6 linked regions of the Sus scrofa genome follow. The protein of the gene in region 1 binds, or shares a complex with, the protein of each later gene. Links are inferred from orthologs where the notes say so. Each region holds a gene or a part of one and is shown in the gene's direction. Other genes may lie near its edges.

Evidence for each region.
Region 2: EIF4A3 (region 1) and MAGOHB share a complex: the UniProt entries of both Homo sapiens proteins name them as parts of the mRNA splicing-dependent exon junction complex. The link is inferred for Sus scrofa from reciprocal best matches to the Homo sapiens genes EIF4A3 and MAGOHB.
Region 3: EIF4A3 (region 1) and UPF3B share a complex: the UniProt entries of both Homo sapiens proteins name them as parts of the mRNA splicing-dependent exon junction complex. The link is inferred for Sus scrofa from reciprocal best matches to the Homo sapiens genes EIF4A3 and UPF3B.
Region 4: EIF4A3 (region 1) and MAGOH share a complex: the UniProt entries of both Homo sapiens proteins name them as parts of the ALYREF/THOC4-EJC-RNA complex. The link is inferred for Sus scrofa from reciprocal best matches to the Homo sapiens genes EIF4A3 and MAGOH.
Region 5: the proteins of EIF4A3 (region 1) and CWC22 are in contact, whole or in part, in a crystal structure (PDB 4C9B), measured with the Homo sapiens proteins. The link is inferred for Sus scrofa from reciprocal best matches to the Homo sapiens genes EIF4A3 and CWC22. Residues at the interface, in NP_055555.1 of Homo sapiens: Met43, Gly44, Ile72, Ile73, Lys74, Gly75, Gln98, Cys99, Met183, Gln213, Val256, Ala257, Glu259, Trp263, Asp266, Thr267, Asp270, Leu271, Tyr272, Asp273, Thr274, Leu275, Thr276, Ile277, Thr278, Gln279, Ala300, Asn301, Phe302, Thr303; in NP_001362958.1 of Homo sapiens: Thr129, Gly130, Gly131, Ala132, Tyr133, Pro135, Pro136, Ala137, Lys138, Arg140, Lys164, Asn167, Gly168, Ile170, Asn171, Lys172, Val173, Asn174, Ser176, Asn177, Ile180, Ile181, Glu184, Ala207, Ser208, Ile210, Phe211, Tyr215, Lys330, Arg331.
Region 6: EIF4A3 (region 1) and ALYREF share a complex: the UniProt entries of both Homo sapiens proteins name them as parts of the ALYREF/THOC4-EJC-RNA complex. The link is inferred for Sus scrofa from reciprocal best matches to the Homo sapiens genes EIF4A3 and ALYREF.

Annotation. Positions count from the first base shown.
Region 1 is NC_010454.4:2,288,679-2,292,178, forward strand, and holds part of EIF4A3 (eukaryotic initiation factor 4A-III), read left to right. Parts: intron 1-259; coding exon 260-326; intron 327-1,857; coding exon 1,858-1,920; intron 1,921-2,991; coding exon 2,992-3,124; intron 3,125-3,466; coding exon 3,467-3,500. UniProt on the Homo sapiens protein: ATP-dependent RNA helicase. Involved in pre-mRNA splicing as component of the spliceosome. Core component of the splicing-dependent multiprotein exon junction complex (EJC) deposited at splice junctions on mRNAs.
Region 2 is NC_010447.5:61,431,613-61,434,526, forward strand, and holds the end of MAGOHB (protein mago nashi homolog 2), read left to right. Parts: intron 1-407; coding exon 408-490; intron 491-1,845; coding exon 1,846-1,945; 3' UTR 1,946-2,414; downstream 2,415-2,914. UniProt on the Homo sapiens protein: Required for pre-mRNA splicing as component of the spliceosome. Plays a redundant role with MAGOH in the exon junction complex and in the nonsense-mediated decay (NMD) pathway.
Region 3 is NC_010461.5:98,184,146-98,186,640, reverse strand, and holds the end of UPF3B (regulator of nonsense transcripts 3B), read left to right. Parts: intron 1-551; coding exon 552-701; 3' UTR 702-1,995; downstream 1,996-2,495. UniProt on the Homo sapiens protein: Involved in nonsense-mediated decay (NMD) of mRNAs containing premature stop codons by associating with the nuclear exon junction complex (EJC) and serving as link between the EJC core and NMD machinery.
Region 4 is NC_010448.4:158,986,771-158,990,971, forward strand, and holds the start of MAGOH (protein mago nashi homolog), read left to right. Parts: upstream 1-1,401; 5' UTR 1,402-1,898; coding exon 1,899-1,986; intron 1,987-4,201. UniProt on the Homo sapiens protein: Required for pre-mRNA splicing as component of the spliceosome. Plays a redundant role with MAGOHB as core component of the exon junction complex (EJC) and in the nonsense-mediated decay (NMD) pathway.
Region 5 is NC_010457.5:85,546,838-85,550,337, reverse strand, and holds part of CWC22 (pre-mRNA-splicing factor CWC22 homolog), read left to right. Parts: intron 1-511; coding exon 512-639; intron 640-2,199; coding exon 2,200-2,301; intron 2,302-2,393; coding exon 2,394-2,620; intron 2,621-3,500. UniProt on the Homo sapiens protein: Required for pre-mRNA splicing as component of the spliceosome. As a component of the minor spliceosome, involved in the splicing of U12-type introns in pre-mRNAs. Promotes exon-junction complex (EJC) assembly.
Region 6 is NC_010454.4:1,097,810-1,102,038, forward strand, and holds the start of ALYREF (THO complex subunit 4), read left to right. Parts: upstream 1-1,429; 5' UTR 1,430-1,552; coding exon 1,553-1,786; intron 1,787-2,214; coding exon 2,215-2,346; intron 2,347-3,814; coding exon 3,815-3,962; intron 3,963-4,229. Other genes in the region: ANAPC11 (anaphase-promoting complex subunit 11), read right to left, coding at 645-753. UniProt on the Homo sapiens protein: Functions as an mRNA export adapter; component of the transcription/export (TREX) complex which is thought to couple mRNA transcription, processing and nuclear export, and specifically associates with spliced mRNA and not with unspliced pre-mRNA.

The DNA of each region.
Region 1 (3,500 bases):
TGAAGTTACAGATTCTGCAGCTTCATCACTTCCTGTTTATTATCCCCATCACCTGTGATTTGAAAGTTGGGACACGTGCCTGAGTCCCACCCCCTTGAGGTGAAGATGTTGGCCGGGGGTGCGGTGGGGGAGTGGGGTCTACTTGTAAGACGCTCCCCACATGCTTCCCCGGAGCACTGCTGGACAGAGGTCACATGATGGGAGCAGTGGCATGTGGCCCATCATTCTAAATCCCATTTTTCTGTGTTTTCTCTCCTAGATCTCAGTCTGGTACAGGCAAAACAGCTACCTTCAGTATTTCTGTCCTGCAGTGTTTGGATATTCAGGTAATCTGCCTCAAACTTCTCTTTAATCTTGGGGAAATACTTCCTTTATCCGCTGTGATTTAAGAAGTACAATTCTTAAATATCTCTAGTTGTATTGGCTCAAATTTTTTTTTTTTTTTTTTTTTTTTTTTTGCCATTTCTTGGGCCGCTGCCGCGGCGGCTCAAAATTTTTTTAAGAGAATCTTAATTATTAATATCTGAGCTAATATCTTGTCAGAAAGTCTTTTTTTTTTTTTTTTTTTTTTTTTTGCTGTTTCTTGGGCCACTCCCGCGGCATATGGAGGTTCCCGGGCTAGGGGTCTAATCGGAGCTGTAGCTGCCAGCCTATGCCAGAGCCACAGTAAGGCACGATCTGAGCCAAGTCTGCGACCTACACCACAGCTCACGGCAACGCTGGAGATCTTTAACCCACTGAGCAAGGGCAGGGATTGAACTCGCAACCTCATGGTTCCTAGTCGGATTCGTTAACCACTGCACCACGGCGGGAACTCCAAGTCCTTTTTATTTAAAGTGGGAAGTTTAAAGTTTTTTTATTGAAATATAGTTGATTTGTAATGTATTAGTTTCAGGTGTACAGCAGAGTGATTCAGTTAAACATACATATATATTCTCTTTAAGCGTCCTGTCTATTATAGCTTATTATAAGGTACGAAGTATCGTTCTTTGTATCGTATAGTAGGTTCTTGTTGGTTGTCTGTTTTGTATGTACTAGTGTGTATATGTTAATCCAAGACTTCTAATTTATCCACAGCCCCCCCCCCCCCGACATTCGCCTTTGGTAACTTGGAGGATTTTTTGTTATTTTTGGTTTTTTTCTGCCTACGGCATGTGGAAATTCTAGGCCAGGGCTTGAACCCAAAGTCATAGCAGTGACAACGCTGGATCCTTAACCCATTGATCCACCTGGAAATTGAGACTCCACACGTGGGAGTTCCTGGGCTAGTGATCTCATCAGAGCTGCATTTTTGACCTCCACTTCAACTTTCAGCAATGCTTGATCCTCAACCCACTGCGCAAGACCAGGGATCGAGCCCACATCCTCATGGATACTAGTTGGATTGTTTGTTTTTGGGGGTTTTTTTTTTGGTCTTTTTTTAAGGCCGCACCCTCGGCATATGGAGGTTCCCAGGCTAGGAGCCGAATTGGAGATGTAGCCCTCGGCCTACACCTGAGCCACATCAATGCGAGACCTGAGCCCGCATCGCCGATCCTTAACCCAGCGTCGTGGGTGCTGGTCAGATTTGTTTTCCCTAAGCCACAGCAGGAACTCATAGTCAGGTTCTTAGTCCGCTGAGCCACAATGGGAACTCCTGAGGTTTTTTTTAATTAGTAAAAATTCTCATCTGCAAACAGGCCTTTCCTGTATCCCCCATTATTGCTGAATGTGCGATTTAAGTAACATTCAGGTTCATTATCTGAAATCAGATGTTATTAGTGTGAGGTAATATTCAAGATAGATCTGAGCCTGAATTAGTGCAGTCTGCCTTGAAAATACTGAGATTCTCTATTTTCTGACAAATTATTTTACCAGGTTCGTGAAACCCAAGCTTTGATCTTGGCTCCAACGAGAGAGTTAGCTGTACAGATCCAGAAGGTGAGACACTTAAAAATGGCAGTATCATATCTGTAGCATGTTGACCCTTGAACAACATGGGTTTGAACTGTGTGGATCCTCTTATTTGCAGGCTTTTAAAAATGAATATTACTACTGCACTGTGTGATCTGAAGTTGCTAGATCCAAGGGTAGGCAGGCCAACTATGAAGTCGTATGTGGGTTTCTGACTAAGGTGGGGTTCGGGGTGTCTGGAGTCTGTAGGTAGGCCAGCATCTCTGACCTCCCTCCCTAACCCCCATGCTCTCCAAGCCAACTGGTTGATTCAGTCTAATCCAGATTTTCTGTTCTATCAGGTTTTTTTCCCCTAATTCCTAACTTTTGCCGTAAATCACATATCATGTTCATTGGTTTGTACAGAGTCATTTTTTTTGCTATTTCTTGGGCCGTTCCCACGGCATATGGAGGTTCCCAGGCTAGGGAATCAGAGCTGTAGCTGCCAAGCCTACGCCAGAGCCACAGCAACACGGGATCCGAGCCGCGTCTGCAACCTACACCGCAGCTCACGGCAACGCCGGATCATTAACCCTCTGAGCAAGGGCAAGGATCGAACCCGCAACCTCATGGTTCCTAGTCGGATTCATTAACCACTGTGCCACAACGGGAACTCCATACAGAGTCATTTTTAGTGTAGCCTGTGTAATTTTAATCGATCTTTGCAATCTTAGAACTGTAATTTTTCCGACAAATAAATCCATCTTAAAAATAATTTTAACTGTTTTGCATGTGTAGTATAAACACTTTGGAAGAACGTCTGTTAAGCTGTTAATGTTATCTCTGGGTGGATAGGATTATTTTACATATTTTCTTATTTTTCTGTAATTAAAACTTACGGCTTTTGTAATAAGAAACCAGTAAGTTGACTTCATTCCGGCACAGAAAAGAGTAGTAGGAGAAGACTTGAAGGAATTTCATGATGGGAATAGTGACATAAATAACACTCAGGGATCATTTAAATTAGAATGTACAGTGATCTTCACTTTGGGGACTCATGTTTCGGACTCTGTAGGGTCTCGGGACAGACGCTGGACATGAATGTGTGTTTTAATTCAGGGCCTCCTCGCTCTGGGTGACTACATGAACGTCCAGTGCCATGCCTGTATTGGGGGCACCAACGTCGGGGAGGACATCAGGAAACTGGACTATGGACAGCACGTTGTCGCCGGCACACCTGGGCGAGTCTTTGGTAATCACTTTTGTCTGTAAGAAGTGCTTCAACAGGAGTTCCCGTTGTGGCTCAGCAGCAACAAACCTGACTAGTATCCCTGAGGATGCGGGTTCTCGAGTTTCTGTGGCTCTGATGTGACCACTAGTCTGGGAACCTCCATATGCTTGCTGCAGGCGTGGCCCTAAAAACCAAAAAAATAAAGGACCATTTTCAATTTGATAGGCTGCCTGGTGGCCTTACACATTTGAGTAACTTGTAAGAGCTGGAGGGGGGTCCCTGAGATGCAGCGGACACTGGTTGTAAGGGCTGGCTCTTTCCTCAGAGCCCGAGGTCTCATTATTTCAAACTCTGATTTTATAGACATGATTCGTCGCAGAAGTTTGAGGACACGTGC
Region 2 (2,914 bases), on another chromosome or scaffold:
TCCATTCTCTTTCCCACATAGATTATCATAGAATATTGGATAGAGTTCCTTGTGCTACACAGCAGGTCCCCATTGGCCAGTCATTCCATGTACTTCAGTGTGTTATGCCCATCCCAGAGCCCCAGGCCATCCCCCACCCCACCCGTCCCCCTTTGGTAACCGTAAGTTTTAAAAAGTCTGAGTCTGTTTCTGTGAATTGTTGATTCATCCTAGTATTGGGGACTCCTGAAGCAGTTGATGAGGTTTTTATTTTATAGTTTATAGAAAAGGTCAAGTTTTTTTTTTTTCTTATTTCCTGTGATCGCTGGAAAGCTTGCAGATAAAATTGGGACCTCATATCGCAAGAGTAAACTGTCTTTGGGATGGATTTTTATATTAACTACATTTCTCTGTTTAATTTTTTTCAGGAGCTTGAAATCGTGATTGGAGATGAACACATTTCTTTCACCACATCAAAAATAGGTTCTCTTATTGATGTTAATCAGTCAAAGTGAGTATGTTAAAGCATTTGGACTAAATTGACATAATTTGTTAGAGAGGCTCATTTTAGAACTATAGATTATTTTAATTCCATCCTATATCAGTTTATATGTGTGTAATCCTGATTTTTATATCAGTGATGACTTGTTATCAAAGAATTCAGCATTATATTTTTTATTGATTGTCAAAAAATCTTAATCTCTACACAGTATCACAAAATTTAACAGAAATCCTTATTGGATTTATCAGCCTTATTAGTCCCATATCACATCATTCTCTTCCTTGGGTAAATACTTGAAAGAAATAGAAAAAAACATAGTATGGCTTAAGTATGGCTCTAGCTACTTGTGTCTTCCTAAGCTCTGTGTCTCTGCCACATACCATTGTCTGAACATCTCTGCCTTCATTATTTCTTTCCATTCTTTCTCCTCTAAATGTTCTTATACTGTCTTTTTCCTGTCACCCTAAACTATAATAACTTGTTTGCTTAACCTGTTTCATTATAAACTCCATGAGTCCAAATTTCCTGCCATGCCTGACAAACAGTAGGTGCTTTATAAACATTTATTAGAGGAAAGAAAGAAATGAATGCGTATTAACTATTGGATACAAAAGGCTACGTTCATAAAGACTGACCGGATACTTTTAAACTGTCATATATCTATTTTCTCCTAGTTGCTGAGGGTGTTGCATTTGTGTCCTACTGGGATTATAAATAGATAGTGTTTTTTGAAAAGCAGTTTGATAGTATGAGTTAAAAGCTGTTAATATTTTTCATTCATATTCATCCAGCTAATTTCATCTCTGAGCATTTATCTGTTCTGGGGAAATATTCTGAAATAATGAAAAAACTTTATTATTCATAAAGATGATCATTGAAAACTTTGTAATTGAAAAAAATACGAATGTATAACAAGCAGAGAATTTTTAAATTAATTAAAAGTTATTGTCAATTTTTTTGGTATAATATAAAAAGTAATGTTTAAAAGGCCACAGGGAATGTTTTTAGTTATGAAAAATTAGAGAAATACCAATACTGTGAAATTATATAGTATTGAGTTTTTCTATCTTTATAATTTTATTTGCCTTATGCATTTTTGTGATGTATAACTATAATTTTTGTAAGGATATAAATACTTTAAATATCAGGTGAATACTGGTGAAGAAATTGATGTATTTTTTTCTTACAGAAAAAAAGATAAAGATTGGAATTGTTGCATATAACCATTTTAGTTATCAGCAAATCCTTCTCCTAAATTAATTTGTCTTAATTGTTTTAGGTTTTTGGTTTTTGTTTTAGGAATTAATTTGTATTTTGTTTCATTCTAGGAGCACAAAAGTAACTTTTATCTTTTTAAATTTTAGGGATCCTGAAGGCCTTCGAGTATTTTATTACTTGGTACAGGACCTGAAATGTTTAGTTTTTAGTCTTATTGGATTACATTTCAAGATTAAACCAATCTAAATTGTATGTTTTTTTGAAACTTTTTATATTTAATTAAGGGATGGGTGAGGGAGGGGTTGTCATTTATAATACTGGGGTTTTTATGAATGCAAAGCAAACTTTTTGTATGCAAATTGAAAATAAGAAAATACATAAACATGGAGTTCCCTTGTGGCACAACAGGTTAAGGATTCCGTGTTGTCACTTGTGGCACAGGTTCTATGCCTGCCCAGGAACTTGCACATGCTGTGAGTGCGGCCAAAAAGAAAGAAAAAGAAAAAAATACATAAATGGACTTAATGGTTATCTTCACTTGGGTCCAAGTGGGTTGGACAGCCCCACATGCATTAAATTCTGTAAATAAAAACCACCTTTCATTGAAATGTTGCTCTAATAAAATATGTCAAAGCCTGGATGGAGAGTGTTTTTTTTTTCCTCCAGGAGGCTGTATCTGATTTGCTTCAAAGATAATAAAAATTGTTTTAATAGATGTATCGTATGACAAGGTTCTTTCATGTAGATATGTGCAGCCAGATTCCCACCTGTTTAAAGGAATTGAAGATCTTCCTTGTTTCCACCGTACCCTGACGGAATTTAATTTTTTGGTGCTTACAGAAGTTTTTTACAGAAGGTGTTGGGTTTTTTATGCTTGTCGCAGACCCCTCTGGTTATTCACATTTAAGTGGTTTGGTATAAGCGGTGATTTCCTCAAGGTTACAAAGGTGAAGTCAGTACCCCAAGTTAGGCACATTTTTATTAGGCCCTTATTCTCTATTTCGCATTATGTATATTTTGTGTCTGTGGGAAATAAATGAGTTCTCAGCTGTAAAAATTACTTGAAATGTAGACTTAACATAATGTGTGTGTGTATTTATATCCCAACTCCTAGTGAACATGGTCTCACTCATTTAATAATACTATTTGAATGTTACGAATATTAAAACATTCATTAAAAAATAAATTTTGTGTGACACTAGTTTTATATGAAAC
Region 3 (2,495 bases), on another chromosome or scaffold:
TAATTTCAGGGAAGTCTCCACTTAAGACTTTGCATTCTTTATTACTGTTGTTTTTACTCCTAAAATTTTCTTAGATGGTGGTCCATTTTAAAGTCATTTGCTGGAGTTCCCTGGTGGCATAGTGGTTAAGGATCTGGCATTGTCACTGCTGTGGCGAGGGTTTACCAGGAAACTTCTACATGCCATGGGTGTGGCCAAAAAAAAGGTCATTTACTGATGGGGAGGAGAGAGAGGCAATGGGTAGTTTCTAAATAAAAACTATTTAGGCTGATTTAGTTCATCTTGAGCAAGTTAAGAAAATTAAGCAATAGATTTATTAAAAATTTACCCTAGGCATATAAAATAATACTTATTTGTATGAAATGATTTCTTTGTAGATAGGAGAAAGGAAGCAGCAGTTAGAAGCAAATTCACCATCAACACTTACTGTCATGTACTGTGGTCTGGTATGAATTCTTTTGGGTATACATCAATACCTAACTTAATGACCCAAAATCCCCTGTAAATACTTGGTAGCAATGTTGTGACATTAACATTTCCTTTTACTTTAGGATCGCCCAGCAATGCAGCTTTACCAACCAGGAGCTCGAAGCCGAAATCGACTCTGTCCCCCTGATGACAGCACCAAGTCTGGAGATTCAACCATAGACAAAAAGCAGGAAAGTGGTATTAGCCATAGAAAAGAAGGAGGCGAGGAGTGATAAGTCCCAATGGCCTTCGGTGTCCTGACTGTCTAGGCAGCCAAAGAGCACGTATTAAGCAATCCAGAAGTGCCTTCAGGGCAAAGGAATAGAGAGAGAAAGGGGGTCGCTGTGCTGGTGGGGTCCACTGCAGAGGAGTATGTTTTGCGTCAAAGCAGGAACCTGATTGCAGGTTCAGATTGGAAGTACAATTTCATTTTTTATGCAGTTCCTACAAATTAATTTTAAAGTGTCAGACAAAGCTGAGGGAGAGGACATGCATTGCAATTTGCAGGCAGGAAATGTCAAGAGAGGACTTAATTAGGTATGACATGAGAAGAAGATATGAGAACTGTCTCTAAAATCAAAAGGCTTTGTTCATCCTGGATTGAATTTTCTTAATTTCCGTGGAGCAGAGTCACTTTGAGGTCTTGTTCAGGTCTAGTTATAGTCATTGTTGGTGATAACTGTTGACTTTGTGTAGTGTAGAAGCAACAAGCATGTGATTGTAATACAGTGAAGGATATAACAAATTTTCGCTTATGCAAAAATTTAGTCATGTCTATATCCTATATCCTAAAGTTTCAGGATTCGTTTTATTTTTTTTGTTTGTTTGCTTACATGAGCTTAGCATAAAAAATTTTTTTAAGACATCTTCTGCCTTTAGCAATTTTTACATTAGTAGGTAAAGTTTAACCCTTATTTGTTGCCTGACAATCCAGTCTTTGTTTTATCTTAGGTCTCATGAGCTGAGTGCATACCCTCTCCAGGAAGGAAACTGCACAAATATTTGTTCCTGTTAAAATAGCAACTTTTAGTCATAGCTTGTTTTGCATTGATGTCAATAAATATCAACATCACTCAAGTATGAAGCTAAGTGTGTTTATTAGTTTTACTAAATAGCTATTAGTTTTGAGAAATTAAGCTTTGGGGGGTGCACACCCACAGCATGTTCAAGTTCCCAGGCCAGGGTCCAGCTCAAGCTGCAGCAGTAACCCTAGCCACAGCAGTGATAATGCTAGGTCCTTAACCACTAGGCACCAGGGAACCCCAAGAAATTAAACTTTTGATACTTAATTGATTTGGGGGGAATGTTGAAAGGGGATAAATGATAATTTGTTTCTGCCTTCACTAGCACTATCCTTTATTTTGCCCACCAAGAAGACTAAATCATGGTCCAGGAGTTCCCATGTGGCTCAGAAGGTTAAGTATCTGGCACTGTCAGTGCAGTGGTTCCAGTTGTTGCTGTGGCGCGGGTTTGATCCCCGGCCTGGGAAATTCCGCATGCTGTGGGTGCAACCAAAATAATAAATTTTTTAAATAAAAAGGAAAACTTAAAAAAAATCATGGTCCACTACTTGTGCTGTCACCACTACGCTCTCAGCCTGTCTCTGCCATGTCCTCTGAGACTCCCACATTATTATATCTGGGTCAGCAGAAACCAAGGCCTACTGTGTGGTAGGCTTGGTTCTTGGTGCTGGGGGTACAGAGACAAACAAATCCTGCCTTCATGGAGCCTTGTGGAGATGGTACGGTTCTGTATTTTATTGTGCTGGTCATTCCATAGTTATACATGTGATAAAACGGTATATAGCCCTAGCATGAGAACCTCCATATGCTGTGGGGCAGGGGGGGGCTAAAAAGACATCTATTGGACATCCCTGCAGAGACGTTGAGAAGGTAGTGGGAGTTCTAGGTTTGGTCCAGGCTGCAGAGATACACTTGGATATCATCAACCAAGATGGTAGTATTTAAAGCTATGATACTGGATGAGGTCAAGGATGGAGTGTATATAGAAGAGAGAACTCAGGGCTC
Region 4 (4,201 bases), on another chromosome or scaffold:
ACCTGTATATGTATATATATATATTTAAAGACATGAAGGTTTTGATACTTTTTTACAAAAATTACAAGATAAAACAAATACCTGTACAAACCATGTGTTTTAAAATAGCATTTTGTTCTCTTCAGGCTGTTGTTGATGTGGGGTAAAGTACTGGTTTGTAAACTCCATCACATTGTACCCAGACAAAATTTTCCTTGTTTGTATCCACCCCAGCACCCCTCAAGGACCACATTTGACTGTATTTGATGTAACAGGCATGTTAGAATGTGGGGTCCCCCTAACCATTTCTGCTTTTTGTCTTGTCCTTCCAAGTTCCGTTAGCTTCTGTACTCGGTCCCCTTTGGAGTCTGGTTTCTCTTCCAGAGGCAAAGGGTGATGTGCTGCATCTCACTAGTTGACTTACATCATCTTGATGAACTAAAAACCAAATGTGGACGTTTGTAAAATAAATGCACTCTTTCTAGAGATTAAATTCATTTTTTAAAATCTGGAAGTACTGTTTCATTGTGATGCTTCAATGAGGGGGGTGTGGAGGATCAATATTATTGTTTGAATTTTAGAGATGAGGAAACGGGTGAAGGAACTGCCCAAAGTTGACACTTATGTTTTAGTGCCCCCCAAAGTACGTGTCGCACATGCAGTGCTCATGCGCATGTGGCGTTCTCTGCCTACATTTTCCTTCTCTGCCTCCTCTGGCTAATTCCTATTTGTCCTTGAGTATTCCACTTCCGAAGCCTTCTCTATTCTCCCTGACTCAGACCTGACTCATAAGATATGGTAACCATCTGTGTTTCCACAACAAATTTCGCCTACCTGTATCCCAGTATTTCCACTCTGCCTCTCACTCCCATGCCAGTGAGGCTGCTTTTACCAAGGTCACCCAGGACCTTCTTAATTATAAACCTTGCAGATATTTTCAGTCCTTATATTCCTTGACCTGGAAGCAGTATGTAACACTGTTGGCATTCCGTTCTTGAAATACTCTTATTTTGGCTTACAGGATGCTATACACCTGGTTTCCCCCCTACCGCTCTAGCTACGTCTTGTTCTCTTTTGCCTATGAATTTCATACTTCTGATCTTCTCATTTTCCAATCCAGTCTACAATATTGAAGCCAGAGTTGTTTTTCTAGAATGCTATATAGGTCATTTCACCACCACCCTTTGGATGACTGGGGAATGGGCGATTAAATAGTTAACTCCTACTCAAAGCATCTCTTCTAAAGACCAGAGAGGTAGAAAAGCAAAGGAAGAAATAAAAGCTTGAAAGAGATAAGTGCAGGCGAGTTTGTTACAGGGAAATGGCAAGCTCCACTGTGGATTCAGGGAAAGCGTCACGGAGAAAGGTTTCTTGAACTGGTCCTTAAACAGCAGGGTTCAGTTGAGCCAACGTTAGACACATGCAGCGTAGTGCGGGGCGTTCTATGAGTTTTGGGTCCTATAACCCTATTTTACTGTTGGCCCAGAGAGAGTAAAGGGCTTTGTCCCACTCACACAGACAGGTGTCCTGAAGGAAGGTGGAGGTTCAGAGGACGCAGGACTTGGAGTGTAAGCCCTTGGTCTTAAAACGCGGACTCCAGACCACGTTCGTCCTCCTACCAAGCTCTAGAACCCCTTGGACCGCAGGCCCAGAAGGACGCAGGCTTACAAACCTCAACCTCCCTCCCTCCCCGGCTGAGGGGGCGGGGCTACACCAATCCCGCCTCCGTGGGGAAGGGCTTCGTTCCGCCAGGAGGGGCGGAGCCTACTTGGCCCGCGGGTCGGGAGGGGTCGCTCTACGCCCGGAGGCGGAGTTGTCTGGCGTCACTTCCGCGCGCCGTTGTCTACGTCAGTGTCGGGCGCCTACGGCAGAGGTGCGGTTTGCTCTTAAAGTTCGGTCTCGGATACCTTTTGCGAGCCATGGAAAGTGACTTCTATCTGCGTTACTACGTGGGTCACAAGGGCAAATTCGGCCACGAATTCCTGGAGTTTGAGTTTCGACCCGACGGTGAGAAAAGCGTCCGGCCTGACGGGAGCGAGGTGTAGGCCTGGGGACGGGCGAGTGGGAGGAGTGTGCGAGGAACTGGAGGAGGAAGAGACTGATGGCTGTGAGGCGCCGATTTGGAAGGAACGATACTGTGTCTTCCCCACTGGTTCTTTTCGTGTTCAGAATCTTCTGTTTAGTGACATTTCTGACCACAATGATTCATTCAGTAAACGTTCCTTGAGCGCCTACCTTGTGCCAGGCTCTGTTCCACCATCTGGGATACAAGAGTGAACACTTCCCGTCTCATGGAACTTAGATTCCCGTGCTGGGAGATCTGTAAACAACAAACAAACAAAAAGCAACAAAAAAAGAAGATTCCAGATAGTGATGAGTGGTCAGAAAACAAAGTGATGGTATAATTGCTGGTGGACTGCATTTAGAAAGGGTGGCCATAGGCGAACTCTCTGAAGAGCAGATATATGAACTGAGTTCTGATTGACAAGAAGGAGCCAGCCTTGTGACTCTCAGGTAGAAGAGCATTCTAGGCAGAGGGAGAAACAAGTATCAAGGCCATAAGGCAGGGATGAACTAAACATGTTTCAGGTGGCCAGTGTGGCTGAAGAGTAGTGAGCTCTGGAGAGAATAGTAAGTAGCCTGATAAACAGGCAAGGGTCACACCATATAGTCTTTATAGGGTGTGGTAGAGTTGGGATTTTTGTTCTAAGTGCAGCAGGAAGCAATTTGAAAGTTTTAAGCAGAGGAGAGATGTAATATGTTCTTGAAAAAGTTTTGTAGTTATTAGGTGCAGAATGGGTAAGAATGAAAACTACTTAATAGGAGGCAGAATTGTTAAGACGGAAGGGATGTTGGTTGGGACTAGAGTGATAGTGATGGCATACTGTTGATGGCACAACCAGTAGGACTTTGCCAAGTGATAGATTTGGGGAGGCGCCAGTACAGTGAAAGAAAAGGAATCAAAGATGACAGAAAATTTATCCTAAATGGGGGCACAAAAATGAACTGACACGCCCCGGTTGTGAAGGAAATAGGTTTGTTAGCAAACAAAGACAAGACAGTGTAGTGGCTACTGGGGTAGAAAGACACAGAAAGGACCCTTGGAGCAGAAGGAAGGCACCTAACCCAGCCTGGAGGTCAGAGAAGACTTCTTGAATAAGATGACATGGGGAAGTGGAGGTTTGAGCCTTTAGTAATGTGAAGGAGTTAGGCAGAGAGTCAAGAAGGCATTTTCAGAAAGCATTAACAGCGAAGAGACCGAAACCCAAAAAGTGAATGGGGTGTTTCAGGCAGAAACCAAACACATTTGACCCTTGAACAACATGGGTTTGATTGCATGGGTCCACTTAATTTTTTTCAGTAGGAAAGACCTACATGATCCACAGTTGGTTGAGTCCAAGATGAGGAACCGTGGATACAGAGGAACTGCAGATGCAGAGGGCTGGCTCTGAGTTATACCAGTGTTCAACTACAGAGAGGCTGGGTGCCCTATGCCCAAGGTTGTTTATGGGTCAGCTGTAATTTGATTAACTCCAGCTATGTGCAAGAGGACTTTTGGAGGAGTGGCCCTGGAAGTGGGCTCAGCGTAGCAGTAACCCATGTTGAGGAATTTGGGTTTTATCAAGACGGCAGTGGGAAGTCATTGTTGGTATCAAAGTGTTAGAGTAACCTAATCAGATCTGTTAACTATCACTTTGTCCACTGTATGGAGAATGAATTGAAAGGAGAGGAACTTGAGGCAGAGAGACGGTACAGTGAGGCGTCAATTAGTGTGGCTCTTTTTAGTGTGCCTTCTGTTCTGTAGGGAAAAAATTATCTCCTTTATTTCCTTTTATCTTCTTCATATCCACCATATATACTCAGGTGAACCTGTTGGATGCACATATGACTTTTTATACCAAATATGCATAATAATATCACAGGAATAGATTATAGAGTGTTGCACAGTCACTTGTTTATATACGTAAAAAGCATTTTAACAGTTTTCAGAATGCTTTCACAACTCTTGAGCCTCAGGGGGCCCTGTCTGTAGGTAAGTTATCGGTTACTCCTGTTTTTCAGCTGAGGGCATTAATCTGCAGAGATGTGATTTGCCTGTCACAAAAGAGTCTGTTCTTTAATCACAACTGAGCTGCCTTTGGCAAGAATTATAATTCATTATCAGCTGTATTTTTTGCTGGGAGGCTATTTAATAGTGTTGATGGAAAAAAAAAAAAACTCA
Region 5 (3,500 bases), on another chromosome or scaffold:
ACACAGAATCCATCAAACATGGAGGTTGCTTTTATTTTTTATTTACCCTAAAATATCTCTATGAGCTTTAGGTTTTCAGCCCCAATCTTAGTATTCAGAACAAGCCATCACTCTTTGTCTTTATAAAACTATGGCTTGATGATTTCAGTGGCATTTTGTCCCCAGACTCTCATACATGCACATTTTAATGAGTGAGTTTTAGGAACTAGTAATCTTAGCACTATATGTTCAAGACAGTATCCTCCCATCTATAAAAAGCACATACATTACTCAAGAAAGAGAATGAACTCTTTATTTCTACAGCATCTTAACATTTTGAAAATTAGTATAGAGAGGCAGTCTTATTTCTTTCCAAGAAATAATATACATCATCTTAAGATATTTAGAGATAATTCTGATTGAAGATGAGAACAAATTGTAATTTCACAAGAAAGGAAAGTTATAAATATTGGTCACTTTGTCTTACCTTTTAAACACCAAAATAAAAATGTTTTTAAATTTTAATTTTCAGGTTCTTGAATGTATAAAGCTGAGTGAAGAAACTACTACATCATCCAGTAGAATTTTTGTGAAAATATTTTTCCAAGAACTGTGTGAATACATGGGTCTTCCTAAACTTAATGCAAGGTTAAAGGATGAGTAAGTTTGTTATTCTTTTTATTCTTCCTGCCCTCAGAGGCTTTACCGCACTTTAGCAGAGGAAATCTACCCTTAGTGGTAAAAATACAAGTTCTCATGATAGTTTTCATCCATTCGTTGCCACTCTGAGTCTCCTGTATTATGTGGTACGACATGAAACTTGATGATAGTCTAGTTCTAGAGAAAATTCAGAATTAATACCTCTTTTAATTTAGTTAGAACTTTTGCATGCTCACTGGAGTTTTCCAGCAATGAGTGTTTTTAGTTTTAGTTTCATTTTTACCCTAATTTTGAGCCTTAGAATGCTAATTTTTTACTATCAATAAATTACTGTGAATATATACAAATGAGTATCACTCATGAAACTATTCAAATTTTACACTGAACTAGGGTTTTGTTCCAGGACTATCAAATAATATCAGCTTTCTTATTTACCATTTATCCAGATTGCCCGTCACCACTCACTTTGGCTTCTGTTCCATTCACACTCCTGAAGTCCTTTCTCATTTGTCTTAGTGACCACCTGCCAGTTCCAGGTGGCCTCATGCCTCTTGACTTCTTGGCCTCACACTGTTGACCACTTGTTCACTGTGGCTCCTCACTTTCCTTCATTGTGCCTTCCTCCCCTCAGTCTCTCTCTCTTGAGCCTCCCCCTCCATTGTTCGCTGAAAGTCTGTCCTGGCTTCTGTATGCTCTGGGCCAGTCCATCCCCTTCTCCTGGTTTCATGTACTTATTTATTGGTCCCTATCTGCTTGGTCAAGTTCACATAGTTCCTCTCCACACAAGTTCTGTAAGTTTACTCACCTCACAGAATTATCTCATAAGTTGCCTTCAAGCAGAATCTTAACAGCAGCACTCTGCCACACCAACACTGCCCAGCTTGTTAAGTAGTTCTGGCTCGTTCATGCATCCTAACAGAGCTGGGTATTCCTTCTCTTGTTCTGTCCATCAAACTCTTAATCATTCTTCTTACATTAAATTACCTTTACTATGAAGAATGGTTTTTCCTAACACTGCTGGTTAGGCCATTCAGTGTGGCACTGAAAACCACATTATATTGTCAATGTTTTTCTGCCTGTCCCCCTCCCTAACTGTAGTGATTGCATACAGTCTTCATCCTTGATTTCTCTTTTGTTGACTGCTTCCTCCCCTCCTCCAGTGCCTTGCAGAGCACTCTGTGTACATGGTATGTATATACACCAGAAGAGAGGGTTTTGGGGGGGGGTTTGGTTTTTTTCACTTTTCTGCACATATACTCAATGTATAATAAATAGACATATATATAGGTTTATATGTGTTCTATATATATATATTCTGAGTGTATAAGAGTGAATAAGAAAGTTTTTTAAAACCCTCTCTGTTATAGAATTATAGTAAATTATGGCTTGACCCTACTCATTTCATTTAGATAGCATACAACCAAATAAATGATTTTTAAATCACTTAATTGTATTTCATTTACTAATTTAATATATAGAAAATCTGAAAATGCAAGGATTAATATAAGGGTTTTACCTTTTTAACCAATCTGTTTTGTTCATTTTCTTTTTCTTTTTTAGAACTCTGCAGCCATTCTTTGAAGGATTATTACCCCGAGATAACCCAAGAAACACTCGGTTTGCCATCAACTTCTTTACTTCTATAGGTCTTGGAGGTTTAACGTAAGAATTATTTTCAGAAATTTATTCACCTTACAGAATTTCTCACAGTTGCCTTCAAGGCAGAATCTAATAGAAATTTTGTTTTTAATTAGGGATGAATTGCGTGAGCATCTCAAAAATACACCAAAGGTCATCGTGGCCCAAAAACCAGATGTTGAGCCCAATAAATCCTCCCCTTCCTCTTCCTCTTCTGGATCCTCCTCCTCCTCCTCCGATTCTGAATCCTCTGCCTCTGATTCGGACAGCAGTGACAGCAGTTCAGAGTCTTCTAGTGAGGAGAGTGATTCTTCATCCACCAGTAGTCAGAGCTCGTCCTCAGGTATCAAAGCTCATTTATAATTAACTCTGCCCTTTTCTCACAAGTATATTGCTGGTGGTGTTTACAAGGGAAGAGAATCATTTGATTGCTTATTTATTTTAGACTTCACTTGTTTAAAAGCCACAATTAATAATATAAACACTCATCTATCACTATTGCAGTCCATACTGAATTCAGTGTTTATAATGCTAAGATTATCTTTTGAAATACTCTTTATAGAAATGAAGATAGTCCACTGCAAATAATTTATTTGAATGCTGACTGAAATGCCATTTCTAACTTCTGTCATCTAGTTTAAGGATTAAGCTTTCCTGATGTTTATATTTTCAAGAAATTTTAATTTTTCACTTTTAATAGTGAAGCTTTATGTTAGTAATTGCCACATGCCACACATTCAGTGCGTACCTTACAAGTGAACAGCTGTATAAATTTTCATAAACAGAACACATCCATGTAGCTCGGACCCAGAAGTTCTTGTTCCCTTCCTAGTTGTTACCATTCCTCTCATCCACTGCCTCATGGCAGCTACTGTTCTAATTTGTAATTATATATTAGTTTTGCCTGCTTTTAACTTCAGAATTATATATTATGAACTCCTTTATGTCTAGCTTATCTTCTAACATGATGCTTGTGAGATTCATCCATGCTATTGCATTTAGTTATAGTTCATTCATTCTTGTTGTCGTAGTTTTTCACTATACGAATATCCACAGTATATTTAACATTTATCAATGGAAAATTAAATTTTTAGTGTTCCCATGAATACTCTTGTACGTGTCTTTTGGTGACCACATGTATATATGCCTTTCTGTTGGGTATGTAACATACCTAGAGATGGAATCGATGGGTTTTAGGTTGTATAGATACTGTCAGATGGTTT
Region 6 (4,229 bases), about 1.2 Mb from region 1:
AGCTGCTCAGTGGTCCCCAAGCCCCACCTCCCTCTTGGGACCACCCTTGTCCCCTTGGCAAAGCCAGAGACCCTTTCGTCTGTCCCCAAACTAAATTAACTCTTGACCTGAATATAACAACCACTTTCACTTCACCAAACACCCTGGGAAGGAACGAACACGGCAAAAGCGGCAAAAGATGTCTCCTTGCGTTGTGTTGTCTGTGGTGACAGCAGTGGCGAATGACAGAGAGAAGTGAGTGGCAAAAAGCATTACCTCCAGCACTGACTTTAAAACATTTGGACAAAAGCAAATACGGAAACATGTCATTTCCGGTTTGACCTGCTAGATGGGAGAGTGGTTTTATAACATTCCATTCTTTTGTTGGCTTGAGAATAAAGGTCTTCGAATAAAAGATCTTAACACATCTCTCAGTCCCACGTGTTTCACAGTGACTCTCACCTGGACAGGAAGCTGTGCTCTTTTTTCTCACCAAACCTTTGACAGACGTCTCGTGTACAAACATGGGCCCAAACTGACTAGCCTTTCCCCATTAACTTTCTTGGGGAAAGGAAATCAAACGCTGGGGATGCTATGCAGGTATCTCTAAGGACCTGCCAAGGCCAGCAAGCAGTCAAAACTCGAGGGCGGGCAGGGGCACTCACAGTCCGGGCAGCAGCCATTGAAGGCCATCCGGCAGATACCGCAGTTCTCGTCGTTGGCCACCCAGAGCCACGTGGCCACGCCGTTCCAGCACTTGATCTTCACCTTCATGGCGCGGGAGCCTGCGGGAGGGAAGAGACCCCCGGGGTTCCGGTGAGGCTGCTGAGCTACAGCACTTGGGAGCCAAAGAAGAGGTTCCGCCCCGAGCCCTCTAGAGGGTCGGGGAGGGCAGGAGTCGCCTCCGGCAGGGCAGCACAAACTGTCAGCGAGGCGGCTGGGGCAAGGGCCGGGTCCCCGGGAGGACCGGGCGCTCAGCGCATCTCCCAACGCCGCGCTTCTGCCCGGGCGTCCACGGAAGGGGGCGTCGGCTTCCGTTAACCACTGCAAAATCCTGCCGTGTGTACGTCTGAAAGGGACATGACTGTCGAGGTCAGGAGGAGAGCCAAACCCCTCCCTGCAAGACACCCGCGGAAACAAGCCCCCGGCCTGCGCGGCCGCTCCCCCCGCCTCCGCGGACCCGAGCGCGGGTTCGGGGCGGGGGGAGGGGCAGGACCCGGTTAGGACGTGCAAGGAGGGGCAAGGGAGGGGCGGAAGCCCGGCCCCGCCCAACGGCCGCACCCCCACTAACCAAATCACGCGCTGCCCCACCCGCCTTCCGTTGGCGGCGCCGGCGCCCGCGCGGGAAGGTATATAAACGACCGCGGCTGCGGACAGGCACTTCTCAGCGGCGCCCGCCGAAGCCCGGGGTCCAGCGCGCACGCCCCGCCCCGCCCCCCGACGCCGCCGCCGCCTCGCAGCCAATCCGCGGCCGCTCCGAGGACGCAGGCCCGGAAAAGGCCGCGCGGCGCAGGAAGTGACGCGCCGGCGTGCTGACGCGCGGGCTCCAGCCGAGGCCGATTCCGCGCCCGCCATGGCCGACAAAATGGATATGTCTCTGGACGACATCATTAAGCTGAACCGGAGCCAGCGAGGCGGCCGCGGCGGGGGCAGGGGCCGCGGCCGGGCCGGCTCCCAGGGCGGCCGCGGCGGCGGGGCGCAGGCTGCCGCGCGAGTGAGCCGAGGCGGCGGACCCATTCGGAACCGGCCGGCCATCGCCCGCGGCGCGGCGGGCGGCGGCAGGAACCGGCCGGCGCCCTACAGCAGGGTGAGTGCGGAGGCCGGCTGGCGGGCCGCGGCCGGGGGGCGGGCAGGCAGCGCGACGCGGGAGCAGCGGGCGGGCCGGGCCGGGGGGGTGGGGGCGCGGGCGCCGGCCGGGCGGACGGGGGAGGTCGCGCGCCAGCCGGGCCCCGAAGCGAGACCCCACCGGCCTTTGTTTGGGCTGGACGCCGGGCCTCGTGGCGCCGGGGGCCGAGGAGACGTTGGCGCGGCCGCCCTGGCGGCGGGAAGTTAGTTGGAGGGAACCGAGAAGTTGCGGGAAGTGCGGCCCCGCGGGCGGGAAGCGGGGGCTGCGGGCCCCTCTCGGTGCCTTCCTCCCGGGCCGCGATGGGGGAAGGTCTTGTGGCCGTGGGGGCGAGGGCGAGTCCTGGAGCGCGACTTATGGGTCTTTTTCTGTCGCGTTTTCTTTTTCTTTAGCCGAAACAGCTTCCTGACAAATGGCAACACGACCTTTTCGACAGCGGTTTTGGGGGTGGTGCCGGCGTGGAGACCGGTGGGAAACTGTTGGTGTCAAATCTGGATTTTGGCGTGTCCGACGCTGATATTCAGGTAAGAGACTGGAGCTTCTCCTCGGGAGCAGCTCACCCTGTACAGCACTGACTGTGGTGTTTGGGACGGGCCGGGACCCTGAATCCGCACCCACCTTGGGACAGTGAGCCCCTCCCAGGCCCTCGAGGGCTGGCCACCACTGCTCCCTGGAAGGGGCTGCTGGAGTGCATAGCAAAGGCCAAGCTAGAGCTGAAAGTCCAACTGCTGGTTCAGTTTGCGCTGGAAGACAGGCCCGGGTCGGGCCGGGCCGAGGCACCGCGGCTTTGGTAGCTAAGCATCCGCCGTGGGGGTGAGGAGCCTCTGCCTGCCCTTTTCTGGCAAGTGTGGCTGAACGCGTGTGGTTCTGCGTCCCTGAAAGAGCGCGGCTGTCTGCGGCTTTATTTCGTGCCCGTTTTAGTGATGCTTTGGGAGGAGAAAGCCCTTTCTCTGCAGGGCTGACAAAGTGCAGAAGCAGAGTGCTACAGGCATCTCTGGTCCCCTCTGCCTTAAGCCCCGTGGAACTGGGTCCCGGTCTTTCTCTCACCTATGCTCACGCTCTGGGTCTCGTTAGCGGCGCAAGTGTTTATTTAGTCTCGTCTTCGACTCAAGCCTCTTTTCTTTTCCGTTTCTTTTTCTCTTTTTTAAATCCACTCTCCAAGGCACTTGAACTGGTTTTCTCGTGAAGTAATGCCGTTTTGGGGGTCAGTCCTGCAGATGGCTGGGTCCGGGTGAGGGGCCTTCCTGGGTTCGGTCTCCCAGAGCCCAGCCGTTTTACTTAGCCGTGGGGGGACAGAGCAAGGCCAGTGAGCGCTCACAGTGTCTCCACACTTTTTTTAAGGTGGTTTCTGGCATCCACTGGAAACCGCTTTTGGTGAACTCCACTTCCCGCTGTGTGCCTGCGGCCGGAGTAGCCCCACACTCTGGGTTCCCTCTCCAACTCCCAGCCTGCCTGAGGTCAGGGCAGTTTCCATGGCAGCGCTTGACTTCAGACTTTGCGGCAGGCTTGAGTAGGAGGAGAGGGAAAGGTGAGCCCGAATCTGCCCGGGGGAGGGGCTGGGTCAGGGCTCCCGAGTCAGCGGGCCCTTCGAGCTGATCCACCTTGGCTTAGAGCCCCTCGCTCTGTGATCTTGGCCTTTGCAGCTTCTCGGCGCAGTCCTCGGGCGTGTCGTAGGTCTTCCTCTGTAGAAGGCGAGGGCCACTTAATCTCGCGCCCTTCCCCGCGGGCTTTGTGATGCTTTACCTGCACTGTGGTACCTGTGTCAGGTCCCCCGACTGGCAGGAGCCCTCAGGCCCAACGGCTCCTGCCTGGAAGTTGCTGTCCCCCTGCCCCATCCCATCCCCCAGTTCCCGCTACCACTGCCCTGCCCCCCCCACACGTGACGTCTGCCTCCCAGGTAGATACCCCAAAGCAGTGCACACTTCCAGGGAGTGTCCCTGGGCTGCCAGGAAGAAAAGGGCTTCGCTGACGAGTGCTCTTTCGGACTCACAGGAACTCTTTGCTGAGTTTGGAACTCTGAAGAAGGCGGCTGTGCACTATGACCGATCGGGCCGCAGTTTGGGGACCGCTGATGTGCACTTTGAGCGGAAAGCAGACGCCCTGAAAGCTATGAAGCAGTACAACGGCGTACCCCTGGACGGTGCGTACCCCTGGACGGTGCGTGGCCCTGGACGGTGCGTCGGGAGCCGCGCCCAGAAAGGCCTCGGGCGCCAGGAGTGGGGCCGCCTGTGCCTGAGGACACTTGGCCGTCGCCCCTTTTTCTCCCTCTTCCCGTTCTGCCGTCTCACGCTCCCCCGCGCACCTGGACCAGCCTCTCGTGAACCCCCTCCAGCAAGCAAGCCCCAGTCCTCCCCTCCTGCAGCTCCTTGCAGGAGACTCCCTTCTGCGAAGGCCCTTCAGAACCGCC